7 linked regions of the Ovis aries genome follow. The protein of the gene in region 1 interacts with the protein of each later gene in a pairwise test. Links are inferred from orthologs where the notes say so. Each region holds a gene or a part of one and is shown in the gene's direction. Other genes may lie near its edges.

Region 1 (4,222 bases):
GGGCCGGGCCCGCTCAGCTCTGAGTCGGACCCCAAGGAGCTGGAGTCATCCTGCAGCTCACTGGGCTGCGCCAGGTCCTCGCCCAGGGCCTGGGCCATGGCGCCACCGACCCCCCGTGCGGCAGGCTGCAAGATGTGGGCACAGCCAGTGTGAGCAGGGGCTCCCGGCCAGCCGGGGCCGGGGCGCCTCTGCAGCCAGGCCTCAGCCCCAGGACCTGCCCGCCTGGTCAAAGAGGACAGGTTGCAGGGCATCGCACCATACCCCTCTGGTACCCTCTCCTCTTGTGGGGTGGGGGTGGGGCACAGGCCCAGAGGGGCAGAAAGGCCAGGCCCCCTACCGGAGACCCAGGCCCAGCCCCTGTCCCAAGGGGCCCAGCTTACCTCCCTGCTGCACCTCACCTCCTCCTCTCACTTCCTCCTCAGCCACAGCTTCAGCAACCCGCTGAGGGCCCCTCCCAAGTGCGTGGTGGGGGGGGTTACCCCTTCCTCTCCAGGGCTCTTCCGGCCTGCCCCAGTAGCCCTGGGCCATGGGCTCCTCCCACCACCCCGGTGGGCTAGGTGGGTGCAGGCCTGGGTTCTTGTGCTGGGTGTGATGCAGCCAGGGCCTGCCAGAGGTAGAGAGGCCACGCTGCCTCCAGATGTGAGGTCACAGGCAAATAAAACACTCAATTCAGGGTTCCAGTGAGTATTACACTTTATTTAACGTGACTTCTTTTGTTAACGCTTTCGACAAGTCAAACAGTAAGTCATTACTGCGCTACTCAAAACACAACGACGAGACATTAAAAAATAGTAGTAATGGTGTAGCATGCGCCACGGGCAGGGGGACCAAAATGAGCTCGGCGTTCAGCGACAGGTGTCTGGGTATGGTCAGCCGCCCGCAGGCCACAGGGACCCTAGAGGTGAGAGCTCCTCCGTCAGTCTGAAGCCAACCCTTGCTATCTTTGAACCTGTTTCCTTTCCTGCACTTCGTGGATTTAATCTGCACTCTCTGGGGAGACCCAATGAGATATCAATGAGGTCACACCACCTTCTAGCCCGGGACAGAAATGGGAAGGACTATTGGGCCCTTGAAAGAGAAAAACAACTCCACACTACTTCCGGCCGCACATCCTCGGTGCAAGGGTGGGTAACTCCTCAAGGGCGGAACTAGAGTCGACCTCGCCCCGTGAAGCCCCGCCCCCAGTGTAGGCTCCGCCCCCGCAACCAGGTCAGCCCGAGCCCCGCCTCCCGAGCCGCCGCGGGCCCCGGGCCTGGCGTCCAGTGGAGGCGCTAGAGCGCAGGGGCGGCGGGCGACCGGGCGGGCCGGGGCGGGGCCGGGTGCGGCGGGGCGGGGCTGCCGGCAGAGGAGGCGGGGCGGCGGGCCGGGGCGGGCCCGGGCGGGCGGAAGGAGCACCAGGCCGGAAGGAGGCCGCGGGAGGGCGGGAGGCAGGATAGGGCCCGGAGGTGCTGGGCCAGAGCGGCGGCGCCGCCATGTCCGACAGCGAGAAGCTCAACCTGGACTCTATAATCGGACGCCTGCTGGAAGGTTGGCCGGGGAGGCGAGGGAGGTGGGCGCCCGCCGCGCCCTGGTCCCCTGCCCGGCCCGGAAGTGGCGCGCGGGTGGACCTGCCCCTCCCAGGGCCAGCTTTGACTGGGCGGGGACGGGCCGCGAGGTCCCGTGGCCACATCGTGCCCCCACCCCACCCCAGTCGTGGCGCGCTGGGAGGTCTGGGGTTGCTCCCCTTGCCAGAGCAGAACCGGGGTTGGCGGTGGCGGGGGTGGGCGCGCAAGGATTGGCCTGGGCTCTTGGCTGAGGGAGAAACCTGAGAAGCCTAGTCCCCCAGGAAGGGGTCCTGTGCTGAGGTTTTGGATGGCCTCTGCGCACAGCAGTCCCCTCGCGAGCGCCTTGAGGGCAGTTGGGGGTCCCAGGAGGCTCAGCAGCAACAGCTGCCCCTGGGCAAGGCGGGGCCGGGAGGCCCAGGAGCCCCTACCCAGAAGTGCCTTTGGGGCCACCAGTGACATTCACCCTCTTCTTGCCTGAGGAACCAGGGTCCTGACGCCTCTTTCCGCCCCCAGTGCAGGGCTCCAGGCCTGGAAAGAATGTACAGCTGACGGAGAACGAGATCCGTGGTCTGTGCCTCAAATCCCGGGAGATTTTCCTGAGCCAGCCCATTCTTCTGGAGCTGGAGGCACCCCTCAAGATCTGCGGTGAGCCCCCAGCCCAGGTCCCCGTGGCCTCCTGAAAGCGGCCTTGCCCCCCACCCCTCCCAAGTTTCTCCTCCCTTGGGCCCAACCCTGACCCTGGGTTCACGTTTAGGCTGCCCTAGTGCTGACCTGGTTCCCTGGGTCACAGGTGACATTCACGGCCAGTACTATGACCTTCTGCGGCTGTTTGAGTACGGCGGCTTCCCTCCAGAAAGTAACTACCTGTTCCTGGGGGACTACGTGGACAGGGGCAAGCAGTCTTTGGAGACCATCTGCCTGCTGCTGGCCTATAAGATCAAGTACCCGGAGAACTTCTTCCTGCTCCGTGGGAACCACGAGTGTGCCAGTATCAACCGCATCTACGGCTTCTATGATGAGTGTGAGTGGGCAGAGCATCTGGGCTGCCCTGGTCCTAAAGGGCTCTCCTTGCCATTCAGTGCGACCCTCGTGTTGACCTGGTGGCTGGGGTGTCAGCGTCTGACAAACACCTGCTAAGCTGAGTGCCGTGAAGGTAGCACCAGCCCATGCCACCCTCCCCGACCCTCCTAGAGCAGATCCTGGCACTCAGGAGGGACCTAGCCAGTGGCTGCTGGCTGAAGGGCTGCCAGGATTCTAAGGCAGGGCCTCACCTGCTGACACTCCCCTCCAGCGCATCCGATACTTAAGCACTTAGGATGCCTGTTGGGACTGGACTCTGTTAGACAGAAGCCAAGATGAACCAGACCCTGTCTCGACCTGGCCCTGCTCTTGTGCTGGGGGTGGATGCCAACCTTGAGGTCGTGCCAGAAGTGGAACTCTGGGGTTCCCGTGGACTTGGCTGCTTTAGAATTCTGTCTGGGAGGCAGTGGGGTAGTAGGGGTAGGGGGCGGGGGTTCGGTTTCCTTTTTTGCCTTCCATTCTCTCCTCCTAGCTGTGTCTGAACAACACACAATGTGTCCTGGAAGGCCTGGAGACCTGGGCTGAGGGTGGAGCAGAGGCCCTCTGGTGAGCTGTCTCCTTCCCCCTGGGCAGGCAAGAGACGCTACAACATCAAACTGTGGAAGACCTTCACTGATTGCTTCAACTGCCTGCCCATCGCTGCCATCGTGGACGAGAAGATCTTCTGTTGCCATGGAGGTGAGCACAGCTCTGGGCATGTGAATTCTTGAGCAGGATGAGCCTCCCAGGGTGAGCACCCCTGGGGACCTTGGGACAGAAGCGTCGGCTGGAAGATGTGTTCCCAGTCGCCAGGAACAGCTCTCCCTGGAGTCCTGGTATGGGTAGTACTTCTTCCATGACGTGCCCCCGCACTGCAGCATTAGGCTGCACCCACTGTTGTGTCATGGCCTCGCCTTCTTGCATGGAGTTTGCTTGTCCCCTTTCTCCAGGGCTTCCCTAGTGGCTCAGATGGTAAAGAATCTGCCTGCAATGCGGGAGACCCAGGTTTGATCCCTGGGTTGGGACGATCCCCTGAAGAAAGGAATGGCTACTCGCTCCAGCTTTCTTGCCTGGACAGTCCATGGGGTTGCAAAGAGTCGGACACGACTGAGCGAAAACACTTTCTCCAGGGAGCTCTGTGCTCCTTGAAGGGACAGGGACTTGGAAGAGGCAGAAGGTGATGAGTTCTGCCTTTGTAGGCTCCCAGGAATCCTGGAGAGGTGGGGGGCAGAGGCTGATTGGCAAAGGCTGCCTGGAGGAGGTGACCTGCCCCCTGTGCCCTCCAGGCCTGTCCCCAGACCTACAGTCCATGGAGCAGATCCGGCGCATCATGCGGCCCACAGATGTGCCTGACCAGGGCCTGCTCTGTGACCTGCTGTGGTCTGACCCTGACAAGGACGTGCAGGGCTGGGGCGAGAATGACCGCGGCGTCTCCTTTACCTTTGGAGCTGAGGTGGTGGCCAAGTTCCTGCACAAGCATGACCTGGACCTCATCTGCCGGGCACACCAGGTGGGCTGGCAGCCCCCATCTGGGTTAGAGCAGGGCTGGCAGCCAGCTCCTGCTGAACTAACCGCCTCCACCCTCGTCCAGGTAGTAGAAGACGGCTACGAGTTCTTTG
Region 2 (4,209 bases), on another chromosome or scaffold:
TCCAGGCCAGAATAGAGTATTTCTTTTAAAAGTAAAAGGTGGTAACAGAAGATGGTAAGACTTGTTTATGTCTTTACTTGGCACTTTAAAAAGCTGGTAATCCTATACTAATTTCCAAAATACAGTAAAACTGGAAAACGGGGATCCTCATCCCTAAAGTGGTTAGCTCAGCTGGTCACCAAGGAGATGATATCTATGACTACATACATGCATATTTAAATTGATCTCATATGGGTGGAGGGGCTTCTAAACTCTATTCTAAACTCATCATTCTCTACAGATCTCAAGCTGAAGCACAGAAATTAAGCAGGCCCTGTAGATATAGGTTGAATCCGTTCATACAGATTCAAGTTAGGTAGTTTCCTCGGAAATATACCTATCTGCTGCTGCTGCTGCTGCTGCTGCTAAGTCGCTTCAGTCGTGTCCGACTCTATGCGACTCCATAGACCGCTTCCCACCAGGCTCCCCTGTCCCTGGGATTCTCCAGGCACGAATACTGGAGTGGGTTGCCATTTCCTTCTCCAATGCATGAAAGTGAAAAGTGAAAGTGAAGTCGCTCAGTTGTTTCCGACTCTTAGCGACCCCATGGTCAGCAGCCTACCAGGCTCCTCCATCCATGGGGTTTTCCAGGCAAGAGTACTGGAGTGGGGTGCCATTGCTTTCTCCAATACCTACCTGAGAAACCCTCAACTATATATGCAATATTCTGAGATGGGTATTGGTCCTTTGCCTCAATAACAACTTTATTAAAAGGATTTTACTGTATTCCATTCACAAGGACACCCGGACAGTGATGGGCACAAAGCAAGTGTTCAGTAATTACTTATTTTCAACAGTATCCTAGAAGCTGGGGATACTGATCCTGAAAAGGCTCCACTTAAAACGGAGGGAAACGCGTTGGGCATTCTCTCGGGGCTCCCCTGGGCTCCACTTGTGATGGAGGAACTAGCGGTCACCTGTGAACCCCGTGGCTGAAGAGTAAGGCAAAGGCGGGGCCGACGGGACGGGTGAATGGCTCTGCAATCCCGTCCGCGCGCGTAGGGTGACTTTTCCCGGCTAGGACTTTGCCTAGGGAGTGGGAACTGTACCAGGCGCCGGCGTCCAGCCCTCTGGCTGTAACGGGATGCCGTGCAGCAGGCAAGTGCCTCTGCCCCCTGGCGCCCGTTCCCCCGGCTTCGGATGAAATTGTGACCCATCGCCCCCTTCCCAGCCCTTGGAACCCGGCCCTATCGCTCCGGGCGCGCAGCCTATCACGTGGCGCGGCGGTGATGGGGGGGCGGGGGGACCGCGGCTCCGCGGTTATTGGTGGACGGCTTTCGTCTCGGGCGCGCCCATTGGCTGCGGGGGGCGTTCACGGGAAAGGGGGGTCTGGGAAGGGGTCCCGAGTTAGGAGAGGTGGCCTGAAAGTTAAAGAGAGCCGCGCGGCGGCTGGGAGTTAGAGTCCCAGGTGAGGGGCAGCAGGGAGGAGGCGGGCGGGCTGGTCTAGCGCACGGACGGATGCGGCTGCCCGCGGAGGGCGCCCACCTGAGCCCCGGGCCCCGCTCCTGCTGTCGCCGCCGCTGCCCCTGCCACCTTGGCTGGGATGCTGCCGCAGGCTGGCGCCTCTGCACTTCGGGGCTTATGAGCTGTACCAGGTACGTCCCCCAGCAAGCCCGCAAGGCCCGGTGCCCTACCGCAGAAACGGCGACGAGGGCACGCATCAGGGACCCTCTCTGGTTCCTGCCGCACACACTTTCTCAGGCCAGCTTGCAGTTACACTCTGGGCATGGGACACTGTAGAAGGGCTTGAGGAAACTGTTGCTTCCTCGTGGAGAGGGCAATGCAGGGACCAGAGGTTGGATGGAGCCTGGCCGCACCCACGTGATGCACCGGTTGGGGGTCCTGGTCATGATGGGAGGCTGGGGCTGGGAGTCCAGACCACTTTTGGTCCCTACTGTGCCGAGTTCGAACCTGACACTAGGCTTTTCCGCCTGGGAACCGACACTCCTAGAGCTGAGCCCTGGGATCTTGAGCACAAGGGAAAGTCGCGGCGTCTCTCACCCCGCCTCGATTGCCCGTTACAACGTAGGGAAACACACTGGGTGATCTCTCAGGTCGCCGAGGGCTACGGAACACGGATCCGCACCGGCGGCTGGGGCCACTCTGAGCCGAGCCACCTCGGGTCCCCGGCCCCCAGACGGGCCGTCCTGGGCCGGCGGGGTCGAGGTGGCCGCGCGGGGACGCTCTCGTGGCGCCTCTCCGTCCGGGGTGGCCCCGCCGCCCCGCCCTGGTATGATAACTAGGGCTCCTCCTCCTCGTCGTCTTCCTCCCCCTGCCGGTCACAACTCCGGGAACCCAGCCCAAGCCCTGCCTCCCGGACACACACCGAGGCTCACGTAGTCTGGTGGCGGCAGCTTCCCCTGCCACCTCCCTCCGGGTTCTCCGATGCGGCGAGCCAGCTGGAAAGGGGGCTTCCCCGCGGCCCCACAGGGGGGGCCCCCCCCCCCCCCGCCCAGGCGAAGGATCTCGGGGAGGTGTTGGGGGCGGGATGCAGCCCGGGCCTGGCTGGACCCAGGAGACAGTGACCTGTGGGATCTTCGAAGCCAGGACGCCCTGGCCTGCCCCCGTGTCCTGTTCCAGCCACCCTTTTGAGTCCAGAGAAAGAGGTGTGGAAGCGACTCAGTGCAAAAGAGGGAGCAGAGAGCCCAGAACATACTAGAAGGTTTGGGCTTTCTCCTGGTATTGTTTGCTGCAGAAGAGGAGGAAATTGAGAACCTGGAGAGTTGCTAGAAGATGTTGGGGCCTGTGGTCTGTGTGGCCAGGCCTCCCTGGGAGACCCACGGCCCAGGAGAAGCCAGAGGAAGGCCTTCAGGCTGGGGTGCAGAGGAGAAGAGGAAATGGTTCATTTGGCAGGGTTGTCCAGGAGCCAAGACTGAAGTGAAGACAGCTGGAGGATTTACCCCAAAAGTAAAGTTGAGGTATTTAGGGAAAAGTTAGGGGAAAGAAGAACCATCAGGCAGTATTGGCAACCCAGAATGTCAGAGCTCAAAGGGATCTCAGGGGAGAAGCTCAAGCCCAGAGAGGTTGAGTAATTTGCCCTGAGTGCCACAGCGTCATGTAGGCGGTCCTAGGCCAGTGCGCTATATTTCATATTGGACACTTTTAGATGCAGACACTGGGCCATTTTAACTTATCTCTTTCCTATAATATGTAACTTCATCCACAGATATTTATCTCAGAGATGCTTTGGATGGTGGTGACAGAATAAAGGAGTCCAAGTGGCATCTAGGGCTGTGAATAACGGCCCCATGGTCAGAGAACCATGGGAAAGATGCCAACTTTGTTCACACTATGGCAGCCAAACCTTTTGGGAGCAAATAGAGAAATGCCAAAAGGGGTAGGTGACCATGTCTTTAAAACAAAAATTATACCTGGTAACTTGGTTGTGAATGCTTACCTTCACAATGTAGCTTCAGTGTTCCTGGTGAGTTATTGGTGTGTCTGATATTTCTGTCTTTTCTTATCAGGGTGCAAGAGAATGGGGGAGGCAATGTGTTGGCCTCAATACAAAAGAAAAAGATTTGCCTTCTATAAAAGGCACAGCCAGAGAGTCAGTAGTTCAGCTGCTTGAAACTGTGAAGGTTATAGGGTTATTTTCTGTACAAGTTGATAGACTTTAGAGAAAAATCACCATGACGTGTAACCCTCGCAAGCTATCTTGAGAGGGTGTGTTGTTTGTCACTAGTGGAACAGGGAAAGCTTTTATGCAAAACTCTCCATGTTCTCTCTAATTTGCATGGAGTGTTAGGGTTTGTCCTCTTTTTGACCAGAAACACTGAAATGTACCCTTAGACACGTCCAGTCTCTCATGGGGCAAGACGGATCTCCTAAGCATCTATTTGGAAGCAAAAGTTTTGAGAATCCCTGCTGGTCTGAGTAACAGCTACTCACAGTCTCATGACCTTGTCCTGCAAAGAACTGGTATCCAGGTCCAATGTCATCTCTGCTGGTTCAGTTGAGTGTCCACATCTCCTTCTGGTTTTTTTCCCCCGACCAACCTTGGTGACTCATATTACCTGACTTGGGCGAGGGAAAGGGCAGAGCTCCCAAAGAGTCTGTCAGAAGAGAGGGCGTGAGTACAGCCCAGTGCATCCTGTGTTGGAACTGATCATTTTCATGCCATTTAAGGATTAAAACACCTGCCCAGGTGCCTGCCTTTCAGGGACTTAG
Region 3 (3,943 bases), on another chromosome or scaffold:
CCCTCTCCTGAGGGCTGGCCCTCACCATCCTTTCTCTCCGTGCCCACCCCTGTGCCATTGATCCTTGCTCTCCCCAAAGGCTTCCGGGCCCCCACACCCCCTGTCCTCCCGCTGGGTCAACCAAGAGGCTTTGCTCATCTGGCCAGAGAATGAATGGATGGGTGTAGAGTGAGTGACTCAAGTTACATAAAACTCAAATCCCAGCTCCGCTGTAACTCTCTCCGCTCCCAGCGGGTGGGGAGGGGCCGAGCCCCAGCCCCCTGGGCTCTCAGCCGGCCGGGCCTCCCGCAGCCGCTGCAGCCGCTGCAGCCGCCGCAGCCGCGCAAGATGGCGCGGCAGGGCGCGCGGCCGGCGGGGAGGGGACGGTGCCTCGGTGCCCGGCGCCGCCGCGCCCGCCCTAAACGCCCGGCGCTGTTCCCTCCCGGGCGGGGGCGGCCGCTCCTTCTCCACGGTTGTCGCAGAGTGGCACAGGCGCGGGCGGTTTGTGCAAAAATAGCACCCCCACCCCCCACCCCGCCGGCGCGGGCGCCGCCCAGAGGGCGCGGGGCAGGACCGGAGCTGCCTCGGAAACCGGCGTGTGCAGGCCGCGTGCCAGCCCCCGACCCTCGCGTGCCGGGGCCCGCGCCTCCCGGCCACCCCGCGCGCGCTTTCGTATTGCTCCTGCGTGCCACCGTGCCCACTCCCGTGCGCGCAGCCGTGCCCCCGCCTTCCCGCTCCTCCTCCCCACGCCTCTTTGCCCACCCCCGCGCCACCAGGTGGCCCCCTCCCGAGTCTCCGTCCCGCCCCCCCCCCGCACCTTTCCCTCCACGGGCCCCTCCCCCATTATCCGTGCCCCCGAGCCCTTGGGTCTCCCATCCCGCGTCACTGAGCCACCCTCGGGCTTCAGTATACCCCTCCCCGCGTTTCTGTGCACCTTCCGCCTCCCAGCGCCCCCCAGCCTCCGTGCCCCCCCATCCTCCGTGCCACCCCTGCGTCTCCGGATTTCCCATTCTGCATCTGTGTCCCCCCGTGCCTTTGTCCCCCCCGCATTTCCATGCCCCCTCAGCCTTCGGATCCCCCCTGCGCGAGTCTCCGTGCCCCCCAGCCCGGTAGGGAACCCCCCCCCCCCCCGCCACCCGACCCCGCGCGCGCGCTCCCGCCGGTGTTTTCGGACTGCACCGGCCGGGGGAGGCGCCTCGTCTGTCGCCGCCGCCCGCACCCGCACCCGCACCCCGCCGGCCCCGCGGCTGCGGCTGTGGGTGCTGAGCGGGCGCCGCGGCCAAGGCGCGCTCGCACCTGCGGCGGCCGCTCGGGTGATGGCGCGGTGCGGGCCTCGGGCGTCCTGAGCTGAACGCAGCGCCAGTCGGGGGATGCCAAGCCGCGCTGCTGGCCCTGGCCATGTCGTCGTCCTTCTTCAACCCCAGCTTCGCCTTCAGCTCGCACTTCGACCCTGGTGAGTCCCCTGGCCGCGCCCCTTGCCAGCCCTCTGCCCGCTGCGGCTGCCCCTAACCTGCCTAACTGCGGACATTGATGCTTCCTGAGCCGCTGGTTTTCTATTTCGCATGGAAATTAACCCTTTCCTCTCTCTGAGCGGAGCTGCAGACGTAACTGCTTTCCCGCAGGAACCCCTGGAGGCCCGGAGGTGGGCAGGCCTAGGGGTTGGCACCTGCTTGAGGCCTCCAGCAGCCGGGGTGGGCAGTGGGGGCACTGCCTGTCCCTGTGGAAGCTTCGATCTCGCGTATCTGGGGCAGGAGGGCCCGTGCTGGGCCAGGTGTCCAGGGGAGGAGGCAGCCAGGACTAAGGGCTCCAGGGAGGGGTGGGAGTGTTGCTCCCTCAGGCCCATGGACACCCTTGCTGGGACTAGGGTGGCAGGCTCCTCCCTAGGCTGGGAATGCGTTCTGGAGAGCCCTGCCGGGCCACCCAGCCGCCTGCATGGGGAGGTGGGACAGAGCACAGGCTCAGAAGAGATGGGCCTCAGTGGATGCCCAGGCCCTCAGGACAGGGATGAGGCCGAGGTGGCGCTGTCAAAGCTGGCTGCAGGAGACATGGGGCCAGGCCTCTTCCCCCCCCTTCCCCCAGGCTGGCAGCCCTGGCAGCCTGTTTACCCATGGCTGCCTGACCTCCTGGCAGCAGTGGGCCGCCATGGTGGGCAGTGGGGCCGGGGGCAGCTGGAGGCCTGCCTGCGTTGCCAGAAGGTGGTAGACTTTCTTCCCTCTGCTTTCATAGGCCCCGCCATCCGCCCCTCCTTGGCCCTAGTGGGAGATAAGCCCCTGCCCTGGAGCCGTGGCCTAAGGACCCAGAGTCCCACCCACTTGTCACTGGGGCTCTGGCACAGGCTAATCCAGCCAAAACAAAGCCGGGTGAGCACGTGATGGGCTCTCCTGGGTCTCCCTCCCTGGAGTAGGGCCCAGTTCGTGCAGTGATGCACAGGGTCCCCTGGGTCCGGCCCCATCTGAAGGCATTTGCTCCTGAGGGAGGGGAGCAGACGGCAGGTTTCTCTACTGGACTGAGGATGTGGGTGTCCCTGGCTCAGAAATAACTTCCCAAGGCGACTCCCAGAGCTTGAAGAACATGGAGTCCCAGTGGATGGCCCCCAACCTGGCAGTGACAGCCCTGCTGGACTCTGAGGGCGGGGGTTGGAGGTGGGGGTGGAGGTGGCCCTGCTGAGCAGTCAGTCCCAGGCCCAGACAGCCTTTTGGGACAGGTATCCAGGTGGCTCCGGGCCAGTGTTCCAGGCAGCGTGGCTCCTGGGCTGCGAAGGTCCAGCCTTGGAACCATAGGTAGGGTGAGTGTGTGTGTGGCAGGACTGACCCAGGGATGGGGGACACCCTTCCCCATGCCCTGCCTCTTGCACTCTTTGTAGGGCCCAGACCTGCCCTGTGTGGTTGGGTTCAGTACACTCCCCCACCAAACACACACTTGGGTGTGTCCCAGCACGAGACCCTTCCCCCATCTTAGAGAAACAACTAAGCTGATTCCTCTTGCAAATGTTTCTGTTAACAGCTGTGATCAGTGTAATTATAATGTGTCAGTTTAAGGACTTAGCAGGGGAAAAAGTTGTCAGGAGGCAAGAGGAGGTCTGCTCTTTTCAGGCGGAATGGAGAGAGCCCTGCCCCACTGTGCGAGGGGCCCCTGGATGGTAGAGGTGTGTTGCCTGTGGGGTGTGGAACTCCAGGGCTCCATGCTGGCCCTCATGTGGGCATTGGGAAGGAGGCGAGGTGGGGTCCTCTGCCCTCCCGCTAAATGCCTAGCATTCAGAGCCCGGCTCCCACCCCTTGGAGTCCCCCTGCCCACCCTTGCCTTCTCGAGTCTCAGTTTTCTCATCTGTAAAAGGGGATAGCAGCGCCTACACCAGGCTCAGTTAGGGGTTAAGCACCCAATGAAAACCTGACCCTCCATGAACACTGGCTGCTCTTTTGGAGGGGGTGGTGTATGGAGACAAGGCCACAGTGGCATGTGGCTTTCCTCTGTCCCCAAAATGGGGATAGATGGGTTTTGAGGTTGACTCCTGTCTAAATGGGGACCCTGCTTGGGATCCACCACAGAGGGCAGGGGACAGTCATGTTTGTGGCTATCTCAGAGTTTGTTTCTGTGGTCGCTCAACACTCTGGGGTGGACAGAGGGACCTGGCCTGGGCGAAGGGTCCTCAGAGTGTCACCAGGCCAGGTTTGTTGCCTACTGACAGTCCTGTGCCCATCATGGATGCTATGGTAGTTCTCCATAGAGGTGGTGACAATGGTGGCAGTTATGGAGAGTGAAGGGGGCTGAGTTTGAGGCTCCGGCTCTCGGCACGTGCTTGAGTGCAGTATGGGTGCTGGGGGACCTTATTTAAACTCAGCTCCTGCCTGGGCCACCGTCACCTATCAGAGATGGGCAGGGCAGGGCAGGCCACTGGAGGGGGCCAGGCCCAAGCATGTTCTTCTGGAACCACAGGCTGGCACAGGTGGGCATCTGGAAGGGCGCC
Region 4 (3,500 bases), on another chromosome or scaffold:
GTGTTCTAGAGAATTTGAGGGGAAGTAATGGCTTCCTTTTACAGAGGAGGCTCATCTCAGTTAAAAGCAAAAAAAAAAAAGGAGAGGGGAATGAGCTCAGGGAAGTGAAAGGGGCAAAATCAAACTCCTAGACCATGCATGCATTTTTACAGTTTGCTTCTCCTTTACCTAGAAGAGAAAAAAATAAAGTTTTCAAACATGGGGGCATTTATTATGTTCCGGGCACTATCCTAACACTTTGCATGCATCATAAAATATAATCTCACCTCAGCCCATGAGGTACTGTTGTTAGCTCCAGTTTACAACCAGAGGGGCCGAGGAGCAGGAAGGTGATGTGACTGACCGGCCCCTGGCTCCTTGAGAAGAGATCAGATTCCAGAGCTTGTGTCATGGGACTTGCCGAAGCTCATCTGCTCCCAACCCTAACTCGGAAATAGCCTTTCCAGATTTGCTTCCAACTACTGTCACATTTGCCCAGTAGACATGGTCTCTAAATCCCACTCAGCCTTCCTCCCCACAGACCCGATGAAGAGCAGAGGTCCCCATACCACAGGCATAATGCTTCCATCAGAATTTTCTTCAAGAAGTTGGTCAGAGTCCCCTCCCCTCTCTCCTCACTCTCCCTCCTGCTCATGCCTCTCAGCTGACTCATTCTTGTGAGTCTCAATGTCTGCTGTCTCTTGCTTTGTCTCTGCTTTTGTGTCCTCTTTGGTCTGCATGACATTTCTGTTCTCTTCTCACTGTGAAGCCCTCTCTTTAGGACTGTCTTCTTCATATCATCTTAAAGGCCTGGAAGGAGATCATAGAAGTTTGTGTGTGTGTGTGTGTATGTGTGTGTGTGTGAAAGAGAGAGAGAGAGACAGAGAGAGACAGAGAGACAGACAGAGGACGAATGGAGGTAATACACCTTCTGACACCACCCCCCACCAACACTCACCTAGCCAGTCATTGGCTGCCAGCACTGGCAAGCAGCACTAAAAAAAGAATAAGGTCACCTTTGAAAGACCCTGGGAGAATGTGAGCACAGTCAAATTGGGAAAGCACTTAACTATTCTGGGATATCAGGACGTACTGCCTACTCAGTGGCCCCCCTCCACCCCCAGCTGCTGTCAGCCGCCCCAGGGCTGATATCTCTGTCTTATAATTCTCAGATGGATCTCTGCAGAGACCCGTCCAGTCGGGGATCCCCACCCTCGTGGTGGGCTCCTTCAGACACAGCCCCACCATGGTGGTCCAGCCTCAACAGTTCCAGTTCTACCAGCCACAGGGGGCCCCCTCCTCAGCCTCCACGGTGGCGGCGGAGCTGGGATCCAAGCCCACTCCCACTGGGGAGCCTGCCCTCACGTGCGTCAGCAGGGGCAGCGACACCAGGATCCACACGGCAGCCAGCTCCCTCATCATGGAAGGCAAAGAAATTCCCGTCAAGAGTGAGCCTCTCCCCAAACCGCCTGCATCTGCCCCGCCCTCCATCCTGGTGAAACCAGAAAACTCAAGAAACAGCAGCGAGAAGGTAGGAGTAGGTGACATGGCAGCGGTAAAGAATCCTCCCGCCAGTGCAGGAGACACAAGAGACGTGTGTTCAGTCCCTGGGTTGGGAAGATCCCCTGGAGGAGGAAATGGCAACCCACTCCAGTATTCTTGCCTGGAATGTTCTATGAACAGAGGAGCTTGGCAGGCTACGGTCCATGGGGGTCACAAAGATTTAGACACACTGAACATGTATGCATGACCATGAGGTGACGTGAGGGGGGCCTGATTCTTTAGACGCCTAACTTTGCACAGTGTCTCAGCTCCTGAGATTTCAGCTTTGAATGGACGAGGAATCAAAGGAATCCTCACACACAACCCCCCTCCACATCCTTATACCACCTCCATCCTCCCTGGACATGTTACTGAATCTCCCTGATGCTTCCAGAATATCTCATACATCCTACTTTCAAGGCCCAGGGGTGACTTGAAAAAGCATGGCTTTGGCCTCAGATACAATGTTGTTTTGAATTCCAGCGCTGCTGCTTGCTAGCTGGTGACTCTGGTTAAAACATTTCACCTTTCTGAGATTTTTTTGCTTAATCTGTAAAATGGCAGTAAGAAGAGTCATAGCCTCACAGGACTGGAGTGGAAATTAAATGAGATGAGTAAAGTGCTTACACAGGGAATAATGTGTACCTGTTCACAGTATGGAGGAGGTAACTGAGACACAGCAGAGTGTAAGTGACTTGTCAAGGTCACACAGAGCTATAACTACTCAATTGACCATTATCAGGACCTTTGTGGTTCTGTGGCTTTTCCATAAGAAGACATAAGAATTTTTGTAAATTTTTTATGTTCTCAGTAATATCCTTGAGGAAAGAAGGATGGTGGGATGGAGGAGGTAACAAGAAAATTAGGTGACTGTTACTGTTTCGTTTTGGGGCTTCCCTGGTGGCTCAGCAATAATCTGCCTACAATGCAGGTGATATAGGTTCAGTCCCTGGTTCAGGAAGATCCCCTGGAGAAGGGAATGGCAGCCCACTCCAGTATTCTTGCCTGGAGAATCCCATGGACAGAGGAGCCTGGCAGGCTACAGTCCATGGGGTCGCAAAAGAGTCAGACACGACTTAGCGACTAAAGAAACAAACAAAAGACAGGCAATGGCCAAGGTAAACACTGATTGTACCAGACAGATCCTGTAACAGGCTAGGAAAGAAGGGAGAGAGGAAAGGCTTATGCAAATGTGAGATGGTGACTCCCACACAGACAGGGAGCTGCTGATCAGCACCAGCCAACTGTTGGCAGAATGGGGCCCTGGCCCCGGTGCACCTGAGCTATATCATGAGAGACAGATGAAATCCTGACTTTCATATATGCAGTCTCCCAATTTTTCATGTTAGCAGCTAAAACTCTTAAACCTTCTGTAGACAAAGTGTAGTCAGCGGTGTCTAGTTTGCTGGCTCTGCTTTGAGGATTTATAAGTTAATCACAGAACTTGATGCAGTCAGCAGGTAGGCCTCAGGGAAGAGGTGGGCCTCAAGACAGGCCTTACCGGCAGGTGGAGAAGAGAGAGGGGAGGTGAACTTCTTATATTTTCTCGAAAGGATCATGCCCTCTTGCCTAGAACCCTGTTCTTAGGTCGGTGATTGCCCCTTCTATTTCTCTTAGATAATCCCCATTCTTCAGTTCTTGATTGAAATACCTCTGCCTTTAGGAGGCCCTCCCTGACAAGTCCCATTCCAGCTTCAATTGGATACTCCTACCCACTCCCTTAGCATCTTATTCTTCCCCACGGAAGCACTGGTTCTCACTGTCATCTGTCAGGGAAGTTCTGTTCACTCTTGGATTTGTACATAGCACTTGACAGAGTGGTGATCCCTGGTGGACTCTCATGCAGACACAAGTATCTGCTGGAGGAACACATGAATGAGGCATTCCCAGAAGGGACAGGGTAAAGGAACAACGTGAGCCAAGTCCCAGGGGAAAACAGCACAGTTCTCACACCTCAGCCATGTCCCTTTGTTCTCCTG
Region 5 (3,500 bases), on another chromosome or scaffold:
TAGTGGTAAAGAAGCTGCCTGCCATGTAAATAATAAATATCTTGTTGAGTACTTTTGATTGTATCCTTAGGAAAATTTCTGAATTATAAGGGTGAAGATTATGCACATTTGCCAGGCTTTTAGATTTATTGCAACTTATTGCAAATTATCATGAGAAAATATATATCTGTTAATTTATGGTAGTAGCCATGTGTCAGAGAACTTATTTGTTTGGATTTGTTTTTCCCAGACAGACAATGCAACGTGTCACACTACAGAACCAGCTCCAACAACTTCTTGAAGCCCAGAAATCAGAGGGCAAGTCACTTCTTTCTTCACCCAGGTAATACCAGAAGTGGTGGTGGTTAGGATTGTTAAGTATCTTTCATCTCTGAGCCGTTTTCTTGGACTTTCCTTTATTATCTTTTTAGAAGATAGCAACAGAAGACATTTTATTTTTATAAAGAGGAATAAAAATGAGCTATCATAGGGAAGAAGGCACTGGATCTAGGGTCAGAAGACATGAGTTTATCTCTGGCTCTGCCATTTCTTCTTTCCACGACTGTAAACAAGTCACTTACTCTTTTAGAGTCATTTTTCCTTCAACTATGAAATGGGAATAAGGATATGTAGGCTCATAAGGTTGTTGACGATGGGATTGGGAAAATTTGTGCAAAATTGATGTGTGAAAAAACAAAATAGTAGACACATTTGGCAGTCACAGCATAAGGTATGAGGCATCCCATTCTGGTTATGGTTGCCACCATGGAATGTTTGTAGTTTGATTGAAGCAGACATTATTCTTATTTCAGTCTTAGTGATGTGGAAGTTATTCGCAGCAGTAAAGCCACGCCGTGGTTCATGGCTGAGTTATTTTAACCCAATAGGAGATCATCTCATATATCCTCCATCCTCTTTCAGTTCACCATCCTCCCCAGCTTGCAGAAAGTCCCAGTGGAAGTCCCCAGATGCAGAGGATGAGTCTGTAGCCAAAAGCAAACCAGGAGTCCAGGAGGGGATTCAGGTTCTTGGAAGCCTGTCAGCATCCAGCCGGGCTAGGGCCAAAGTGAAAGATGAAGATTCTGATAAAATCCTACGTCAGTTATTAGGAAAAGATATTTCAGAGAATGTCTGCACCCAGGAAAAGCTGTCGTTGGAATTCCAGGATGCTCAGAGTTCCTCGAGACATTCCAAAAAGATCCCCCTGGAGAAGAGGGAACTGAAGTTGGCGCGGCTGAAGCAGCTGATGCAGCGGCCACTGAGCGAGGCTGACACGGACTCCAACAACTCTGAGGACCCCAAGGGCACCCCTGTGAGGAAGGTTGACAGGCCCAGACCGCAGCCCATCGTGGAGAGTGTGGAGGGCGTGGACAGTGCAGAGAGCCTCCACTTGATGATCAAGAAACATACCTTGGCATCAGGACGCAGGTTTCCTTTCAGTATCAAGGCCTCCAAATCCCTGGAAGGCCACAGCCCATCCCCCACCTCAGAGAGCAGCGAGCCGGACTTGGAATCCCAGTGTCCGGGCTCAGGAAACACCCCCTCAAGCCAACCCTCTGGAGAAGCCCCTCAGCCCAGCCCTGACAGTGCAGCCGCCCAGAAAGTGGCCACGAGTCCCAAGAGTGCCCTCAAGTCCCCGTCGTCCAAGCGCCGGACATCTCAGAACTCAAAACTCAGAGTGACCTTTGAGGAGCCGGTGGTGCAGATGGAGCAAACTAGCCTTGAACTAAACGGAGAAAAGGAGCGAGAGAAGGGCAGGACCCTCCAGCGGACGTCTGCTGGTAGCGAATCAGGGGATCAGCTCAAAAGGCCCTTTGGAACCTTCCGATCCATTATGGAGACACTCAGTGGCAACCAGAACAATAATAATAACTATCAGACATCCAACCAGCTGAAGACCTCCACCCTCCCCTTAACCTCCCTTGGGAGGAAGGTGACAGACGGTAAGGGAAACACCGGGAGCTCTGCTAACAAAGGAAAAAATAAGGCGGTGAGTGCTGTTTGGAGAATGTCCCTTTTATTCTTTTAAATTAATTATGTTATTCCTAACACCACAGATTACAGCCCTTGGCCACCTTGAGGGAATCCCTGGAAGAATTCTAAAGGATGCATGGAAAAACAGACTCCAGGGTTTCTAATGAGATAAGTTGTGTTGAGTACCTTTTACTCTTCCTTTGGAAATTGAGAGAGGATGATTAAACAGATCACAGGAGGTTATATCCTGGTCCCTCGATTTCCCCAAGTAGTTTGATCATTGAGAATTAGGAGTTGTAGATGGGGAGGCATGTCTATAGGACTAGATTACAAAATCAGTGTGAAATCAGGCCCCTCTTTATCCCTGATTCTGCCCCAGGAAGAGTTAGTTCTCCTCATGTGACTGGACAGTTTATTCTCGAGCCCAATTAAACAGTATACAAATAGAAATTCTATTTCTAAAGAATTAACTACTCAGCTTCAGAAAGACCTTTGGAATAAATATGCCGCAGGAACCTCCACGTTGACATCTTAAGACACAAGCCCCTAAGGAAGCCCTGGTGGTCTACAGTGCTTGCCCACCCACAGGGGATGGCAGAGTGTGTGCCATGAACTGCACTGTATAATTGCATTTATTGTAAAACCACGTGTTATAATCTGGATTTAAATCCTGTGAGGAAGAGATACGAACATCTTTTTAGGTAATGTTTCCTGCATGCTTTGTGCCTGTTATGCCCTTGAAAACATGGTATAGCCGCCAACGTGTGAAACCCTCTGTGAAACAGAAGGACCCAGAATATCCTTCACAGTAACTAGAGAGTAACACCTGCATAATTTATTATTTGTCATAAGGTACAACCCCATTCTGGTGCGGTCTAAGAACTTTCTAGATTCTTTTTGCAGTACCAAAATCAAATTTTAGTTAATATCACTCCAATTAACAACACACAAATTTTAATTGCACATTGATTTCCACCGAGTTGTCTTTGTTATAAGACTTTAGCATGTATTTGCTTCAGCTTAGAAAAGTCACGTTTGTGCCCCTGAACACCAGGCCTTTTGGATTAAATATGTCCAAACTTACATTGCTGGAGTAAAACTTCTCCAGGTAACTTAATGGGTCCTCTCACTGAGGAGTCAAAGATCTCAGCAGTTCCCCATGCACCGTAAAGTGTGTCCAAAGCGTCTATCCTTTAACCTGTCTCCTGCATGCCTCCTGTTTATTGAGACTTGTGCATGTGCTGAGCTTGTTGCATGTGTTCAGATGATTTTTAATTGCACCTCTCTAGGAGATGTACGGCAGCTGCATCAATCTTTCCTCTAACACGCTGATTGAAGAGCATCTGCGTAACTATGCACGGTACGTGGTGCTAGGGTGTCTCCACAGCAGTGCCAGGCCTTCGCTTTAAATTGCATGACCTTTTAAATGGTGGTTCTAGCACACTTTTTGCAGGCGCTGACACCTAGGTAGTAGAAAATTCTGACTCCTCCCCCAAATAGAAGCTGACAGATTTGTAACTGGTCCTTAGAAAGGGAGCAGGTACCCA
Region 6 (3,220 bases), on another chromosome or scaffold:
TTGTAACCCCAAGGAGCCTGGGAGTGAAGACTGTCGCCCCTCCTGGTCCCCCTCAAGCCTCCCCATGTGCACGGACAGGGAAGAGGGCTGTGCAGTGGAGAAGACCCCGCCGCAGAGTGCGGACAGGCCCCCGGAGGAGCCTGCCCTGGAGCTCCCTCTGGCAGTGTGACGCATGGGCGGAGACTGCCTCCCACCCGTTCTCTATTTATTCCCTTATTTTATCTAACACCATTTCAAAAACAAAACTGTAGAAGCAGCTGCTGCTCCTATGTTATTTTATTGGGGTCACTGGGGAAAGGGTGGGAAAGGATTGTTTGTACAAGTATTTTTTAAAGGGCCAACAGAACCAAGGAGACCAGCCCCAGCTCGATCAGGGGACAGTCTTGGGGCAGAGGAGGCTGCATCCTGAGCTTTCTGGGCCTTCGGAACAAAGAACTAGGATCTCACAGGAGGAGCTGGGTAATTCAAGCAGCTATTCACGTAGGGACCAGAACACGACAATTTAAACAGCATGACAAAGCCCCTTCCTCTCTTCTGAGCTCCAGGCAGGGTTAAGCTCACCTTCCTCAGCAGTTACTCTGATACCCCACTTTGGTGTATTGTAGTAATACAGTTGAAATCGTCAGCTGGTTGAGGCTAGAAAGGAGGGGGTGAAAGTGTCTCTGCTTCTGTATAAAACCTCTAAGATCTATAAGAATTGAACCTGCCTTCCCTGACCCCCCCTTATTTGGTAAATAAGTTAATATTTGACATTTTTGTTCTCTGACCTGTTCCCCACACTGGGGATTCCTGGTCTTAACTTGGAAGTGTTTCTTTCACACGTTTTTAGGTACTAGAGTTAAACTTGTCTTTCCCCCTGCCCCCGCTTTGTCCTTTTTCCTTTGAAGGGAAAGAGCTAGATTGGCTGGGGATGTGGCATCAAGAGCCAGTCTTCCCTACATGTCTAACCGCAGCTCCATCAGGCAGCTTTAATCTGGGGCTCACACATCCCATGGGAGGCCTATATAGAGCATTAACCTGTGTCCAGAGGAGGCAGCAGGAACAGGCTGCTGTCTGGAAAGATGACTTTCTTTGTGCTGTGCTTGCGTTTTCACCTTAACCCCGCCCTGTTCCCTACCCCTCCCCCCAAAAAATTAAGCTTTAAAGGAGTGTAGGATGTGGCAAGTTCACCAGCTAGTGTTTTTGTGTTACCTTTTGTGTTTTTTCCTTTTTTGGGTCTACCCTCCTGGTCCCTCTTGGATATACAGGGTTAGAGTTCTTACATTCACATTCTGTTCCCAAGAACTGCAAATGCTTACTGGCTCCCTCCATCTTTATATATAAAGATTGTAAGCCACACCAGTTCCTAAATGCTTCCTGCAGCTCCCAGGTTCTAAGAAGTCAAGTTCTAACTGTAACTTTTGAGGTCTATTGAGTGGAACTCAGATTCTGTTCGTACCTTTATTAGGGGGGACATGGTTCCTGTTCTCTCATGTCCAGTTTATGTTCCAAGATGTGCTCCACTGAACACTGAATTCTTTTCACTAGCAAAGTTATCACTGCCTCTGTTTTCTTTTCTTTTTTTTTTTATGGCTCTTTGCTTCTGTTTGAAAAGGGAAGCATTAGGGAGCAAAACACTCTAGCATCCTTCACACTAAGCTTCATTACTGGTATGGTTTTTTGACCAGGAAAAGACAAAGTATAAACCTTTTTTTTTTTTTTTGGTGGAGGAGGTAACTGTTCCTACTATTTTGCTTATAAAGCCTTTTCTTGTGGGATCTTAAGGCCCCAGTGTCTGAAAGCAACCTTTATGTATGTATATCACAGTAGCATTTCACCTATCAAACCTAAACTGAGCCTGAAAGGCCTTATATTCAACATGGATACATCCTTTTAACTTATTTTGCCTCTCCTATTCATTCTTGTTTTTGCTGGTTTTACATTTGGAGGTGAATTAATAAGCCATAGGCCCTTATCTCTCCTCTAGGCTCACAAAACGGAGTCAGAGTCCTAAGCACCTGTGAAATAGGTGCTATCCTCAACTGAGCTACACTCTGCCACCTTAGACTGGTCCCCTCAGACAGAAGGTTGAACTTTAGTTGGGAATTTGACTCTGGAGATGAATCTTTCTAGAAGTTTGTGTCAGAAGGGGAGGGTGAGTGCTGTATCTTCCCTCCTTCGGAGGGCGCCAGCCTAAGCTAGGAAGTGGATTCACCTGTTTAATAAGACATTTGGGATCAGACCAAGAAGCTCAAACTAATTAAACTCATTGCCAGCCCCCAAGATAATAAATCCCTCCCTTCATTAACTACAGTTCTGACTCACCTGTCCCAACCTTTTAAATGCTAAATATTAACATTAACAATCTTGTTAAGCAAAGGGCCTTTTATGCAACCTAGTCCATCTCGTTTCTGGTGCTACCTGAGCTGGACAGACAGAATTACAGTGCATGGTTGCTAGAAAGGCTAGGCTGCTGACCACAAAAGCAGAGCTTCAGTGCTGCTTAGACTAGGTGGGATAAAAGAAATCCAGATAAATCACTCATTACAACTCAATATTTTCCAATTTCTTTTCTCACATACTGTACACAGGTAGTATTTTCAATGTGAATCCAAAGCTTGTCTGGTTCTCTGAAAAAAAAAAAATTTAATTTTTTTTTTTTTGCTTTTAGGTCCTTTACATTGTGATAATGCTGTATTTAAAGAAAATATTTAAATGTAATATTAAAGAAATATTCAAAAGAATGGTGTTTTCTTCTTTATCTTGGCAGACCACAATTCAGTTACTTGTTAGAGAAAAATGCTTCTCTAGTACTATATATAAAACCAATTAGGTCAGTTAAGGATTAATGTTAACAATAGGGATGTTTTACAATGGAAAAATAGAACATTCTATGGAGCATCAAGAGCTTCACTTGCATCATGTGCCCTTAGGCGCCTCTTCAGCTGGAGCAAGTCTTGATCTGCCCTGTTGGAGCTTTTCTGACTCAGTCCCTACTCTTGGGGCCCACTTTTCAATTCCATGGCTTTATATGTGTGTGTGTATATATGTGTGTGTGTGTGTGTGTATATATTCCTGTCTACTGTCTTAAAATCCAGCAAGAGCATCAACTTCACATCAGTTTTTTTGTTATTTCCATCCCATCAGAAGGTTCTATTCCAACCAATTATCTCTCCGTTAGGTTATGACAATCAGTCCTGTAAAAGGAACATTAGTAACTGGGGGACGTGTAAGTCATTTC
Region 7 (2,705 bases), on another chromosome or scaffold:
TATTCCCAGGCTAGTCTTAAAACTTCATGGAGCATTTATTTTACTGTTTCAACACATTCCAAAGGTAACCTTATTTGGGGAATCTTTTGAATTGCCTTTTTAAAAAAAATTCAGCTGAGGTTATTAATTGAAGAGAAATCCCCACAAACAGGTATCTTTTATTGTGGAGCAAAAGTTTCTTTAATTACCTTTACTTTTATTTGGAAAGAAAGTCATGGGTGAATTATTATTGACCTCAAATTCTGCTGCATCAGAGTTTCAAGTGGAAAGAACTGTAATCCATTGGCTCCAATTGACCAGCTTAATCTTTGAAACTCTCCCTAGGGTAGAAAATGTCCCTAAATGGTGGTATTCTTATGTCCTAGCTGTAGACGCAAAATAAGGCATATTAAAAATTAGATTTTAGGTCACACTGTTGTTAATGCTGTGTTAAACGTTTTTCGCTATGTTTTTAAAGGTCCCTGACAAAATGGCCTGTTCAGTGACTAGAGAAACAAAGTGAGGCAGTGGAATGAGCACTTGGCATCTAGAGACTTGTGTTCCCTACTCTTAAGTGGTGAGGGCCAACAGATTTAGGAAGATAGCCAGAGCTGGGAAGTAACTTGACCTCTCATGGCTTTGACTGACTAACTTATAGTAATAATAATAATGGCTATTGTATGAATTATTGCACGGTTTAAACGAGGTGAGTAGATAAAACTCATAGTTGCTTTGCCTTAAATGATAACTCTTGTTTAGGGATCTCAGCCCAGCCTCATGTCTCTTTTTAGCTTGCTCACTGAGTGAAAAGTGAGATGAGTCAAGTAGATGTTACTATTACTATGCACTAGAAGCAACATTTATAAAAGATTATGTCTGGAATATGGTAAAGTTATTTATAACCTTTGACTACATCTCATTTTTTAGGTATATGGGAATAATGGATAGTTCCCAGTTCTTAGAATGAGGCTTTCAGATCTGGGAATGCTTTATTAAATGGCAAACATGGTGCAGATTGTGGAGCCGGGCTGAGTTGGAGTCCTGATTGCACCCCTGGAAGCTGAGTGATTTGAATGAGTCAGTTTACCTTGGTTTCCTTATCTATACAATGAAGATGATGATAATACATACCTTATAGGGTATGTATTTTTAAGTGAGATGAAAATTGTTAAGTACTTTGAAAAGAACCCGGCATATGGTAACCACTGTATAAATGTTATTTATCTTGGTGATAAAATGAATGAGTAATGCTAGAATGCAATATTTAGTAAGGTGTTACATATCTACTAATTGTCCTCGGGGGTATTCCTTGGCCTGATGTAAAGGGAATGAAAGTAGCCAGCCACAGTGGAATTAGCTGATGTAAGTAATGAATGTACTTTAAAACAAGTTTTGACATTTGGTGTTTGATATCTTAAAAAGATACTTCTATATTAGAAATTGAGTAGGGATTAAAAGGAACTGTCACTTACCTGTGATCATATATGTTGCAGTAGTCACAATTGCATGTATATATGGTGATAGGATAATGAAGAATACACAGAGGGTTTTTATCTTAACTACAAAGTCTCTTATAGTAACATAACCTTTTGCTAAGTCACTTCAGTCGTGTCCGACTCTGCGCGACCCCATAGACGGCAGCCCACCAGGCTCCGCCATCCCTGGGATTCTCCAGGCAAGAACACTGGAGTGGGGTGCCATTTCCTTCTCCAGTGCATGAAAGTGAAAAGTGAAAGTGAAGTCGCTCAGTTGTGTCCGACCCGTCACAGCCCACCAGGCTCCTCCGCCCATGGGATTTTCCAGGCGAGCACTGGAGTGGGGTGCCACTGCCTTCTCCAACATAACCTTAAAGATACATTTTGTTGCAGTTTGAATACTAAGTAACTTTTTCTTCTGTGTTCTGATTATAAAATAATTAATATAATACTACTACTACATGTTTATGATTCAAGAATTGAAAAACACTGAAAAGTTACTTTTTTTAAAAAAGAAATAGAAGTGAACTTTTGTGCTGTAATAAAAGCATTCAGGAATATATTTCTGAAATACTTAGGAAACATTTGTCATTTTGGAAGAGTGTACAAGTTTGTTTCTTTACTTCTGTTATATTTGAGATTAAAATTACTCTTATGTTTATAGGTAACCTTCCTTGAAGAAGTTACTGAGTATTATATAAGCGGTGATGAGGATCGAAAAGGACCATGGGAAGAATTTGCGCGGGATGGATGCAGGTTCCAGAAACGAATTCAAGAAACAGAAGAAGCTATTGGATACTGCTTGACATTTGAGCACAGAGAAAAGATGTTTAATAGACTCCAGCAAACATGTTTCAAAGGGCTTAATGTTTTCGAGCAATATTAAGATGATTTGACAGCCTCTGGCCCTAGCATACACTACCTCTTACTTGAGAGGTTACTTTTAAAAACAAAAGTTGGCAGCTGTCCTTCAACTTTTTCTTAGAGGATGTGCAGCTTGGATCCAGTGACCTAGTTTAATATTTTTTTGCAACATAGCCCACTCAGATACGTCCAGGTTTGAAGCCAGGCCCTGAAAATGAAGGATGAGATGGTGTGATTTCTAATCCTCCCTTTTTTGTTTAGTTGGATCTGTTCTAGGATGTTGTTTGCTTGCTGAAGTGAAAAGGGGACCTTTTAAGGTGTAATTTTGCACTTTAGAAACTTATTTTCTTGGGAAACAATATTTATAGGCTTAAGAGCCCATTTCCC

Evidence for each region.
Region 2: the proteins of PPP1CA (region 1) and PPP1R3B interact in binary tests that used the Homo sapiens proteins (3 or more experiments, as listed by UniProt). The link is inferred for Ovis aries from reciprocal best matches to the Homo sapiens genes PPP1CA and PPP1R3B.
Region 3: the proteins of PPP1CA (region 1) and AATK interact in binary tests that used the Homo sapiens proteins (3 or more experiments, as listed by UniProt). The link is inferred for Ovis aries from reciprocal best matches to the Homo sapiens genes PPP1CA and AATK.
Region 4: the proteins of PPP1CA (region 1) and SH3RF2 interact in binary tests that used the Homo sapiens proteins (3 or more experiments, as listed by UniProt). The link is inferred for Ovis aries from reciprocal best matches to the Homo sapiens genes PPP1CA and SH3RF2.
Region 5: the proteins of PPP1CA (region 1) and SNCAIP interact in a two-hybrid assay, tested with the Homo sapiens proteins (2 studies listed by BioGRID and IntAct). The link is inferred for Ovis aries from reciprocal best matches to the Homo sapiens genes PPP1CA and SNCAIP.
Region 6: the proteins of PPP1CA (region 1) and CSRNP2 interact in binary tests that used the Homo sapiens proteins (3 or more experiments, as listed by UniProt). The link is inferred for Ovis aries from reciprocal best matches to the Homo sapiens genes PPP1CA and CSRNP2.
Region 7: the proteins of PPP1CA (region 1) and PPP1R15B interact in binary tests that used the Homo sapiens proteins (3 or more experiments, as listed by UniProt). The link is inferred for Ovis aries from reciprocal best matches to the Homo sapiens genes PPP1CA and PPP1R15B.

What each region holds. Positions count from the first base shown.
Region 1 is NC_056074.1:41,699,855-41,704,076, reverse strand, and holds the start of PPP1CA (serine/threonine-protein phosphatase PP1-alpha catalytic subunit), read left to right. Parts: upstream 1-1,422; 5' UTR 1,423-1,472; coding exon 1,473-1,527; intron 1,528-2,057; coding exon 2,058-2,189; intron 2,190-2,334; coding exon 2,335-2,565; intron 2,566-3,197; coding exon 3,198-3,302; intron 3,303-3,889; coding exon 3,890-4,113; intron 4,114-4,194; coding exon 4,195-4,222. Other genes in the region: TBC1D10C (carabin), read right to left, coding at 1-251. UniProt on the Homo sapiens protein: Protein phosphatase that associates with over 200 regulatory proteins to form highly specific holoenzymes which dephosphorylate hundreds of biological targets.
Region 2 is NC_056079.1:24,332,487-24,336,695, reverse strand, and holds the start of PPP1R3B (protein phosphatase 1 regulatory subunit 3B), read left to right. Parts: upstream 1-1,409; 5' UTR 1,410-1,497; coding exon 1,498-1,634; intron 1,635-4,209. UniProt on the Homo sapiens protein: Acts as a glycogen-targeting subunit for phosphatase PP1. Facilitates interaction of the PP1 with enzymes of the glycogen metabolism and regulates its activity.
Region 3 is NC_056064.1:51,028,322-51,032,264, forward strand, and holds the start of AATK (serine/threonine-protein kinase LMTK1), read left to right. Parts: upstream 1-1,143; 5' UTR 1,144-1,377; coding exon 1,378-1,432; intron 1,433-3,943. UniProt on the Homo sapiens protein: May be involved in neuronal differentiation.
Region 4 is NC_056058.1:55,018,529-55,022,028, forward strand, and holds part of SH3RF2 (E3 ubiquitin-protein ligase SH3RF2), read left to right. Parts: intron 1-1,151; coding exon 1,152-1,510; intron 1,511-3,500. UniProt on the Homo sapiens protein: Has E3 ubiquitin-protein ligase activity. Acts as an anti-apoptotic regulator of the JNK pathway by ubiquitinating and promoting the degradation of SH3RF1, a scaffold protein that is required for pro-apoptotic JNK activation.
Region 5 is NC_056058.1:29,092,568-29,096,067, reverse strand, and holds part of SNCAIP (synphilin-1), read left to right. Parts: intron 1-229; coding exon 230-322; intron 323-900; coding exon 901-1,969; intron 1,970-2,036; coding exon of another isoform or gene 2,037-2,059; exon of another isoform or gene 2,060-3,242; coding exon 3,243-3,313; exon of another isoform or gene 3,314-3,500. UniProt on the Homo sapiens protein: Isoform 2 inhibits the ubiquitin ligase activity of SIAH1 and inhibits proteasomal degradation of target proteins. Isoform 2 inhibits autoubiquitination and proteasomal degradation of SIAH1, and thereby increases cellular levels of SIAH.
Region 6 is NC_056056.1:135,118,123-135,121,342, forward strand, and holds the end of CSRNP2 (cysteine/serine-rich nuclear protein 2), read left to right. Parts: coding exon 1-169; 3' UTR 170-2,553; coding exon of another isoform or gene 2,554-2,609; 3' UTR 2,610-2,720; downstream 2,721-3,220. UniProt on the Homo sapiens protein: Binds to the consensus sequence 5'-AGAGTG-3' and has transcriptional activator activity. May play a role in apoptosis.
Region 7 is NC_056065.1:1,999,320-2,002,024, reverse strand, and holds part of PPP1R15B (protein phosphatase 1 regulatory subunit 15B), read left to right. Parts: intron 1-906; coding exon of another isoform or gene 907-927; exon of another isoform or gene 928-1,118; intron 1,119-2,118; coding exon 2,119-2,340; 3' UTR 2,341-2,705. UniProt on the Homo sapiens protein: Maintains low levels of EIF2S1 phosphorylation in unstressed cells by promoting its dephosphorylation by PP1.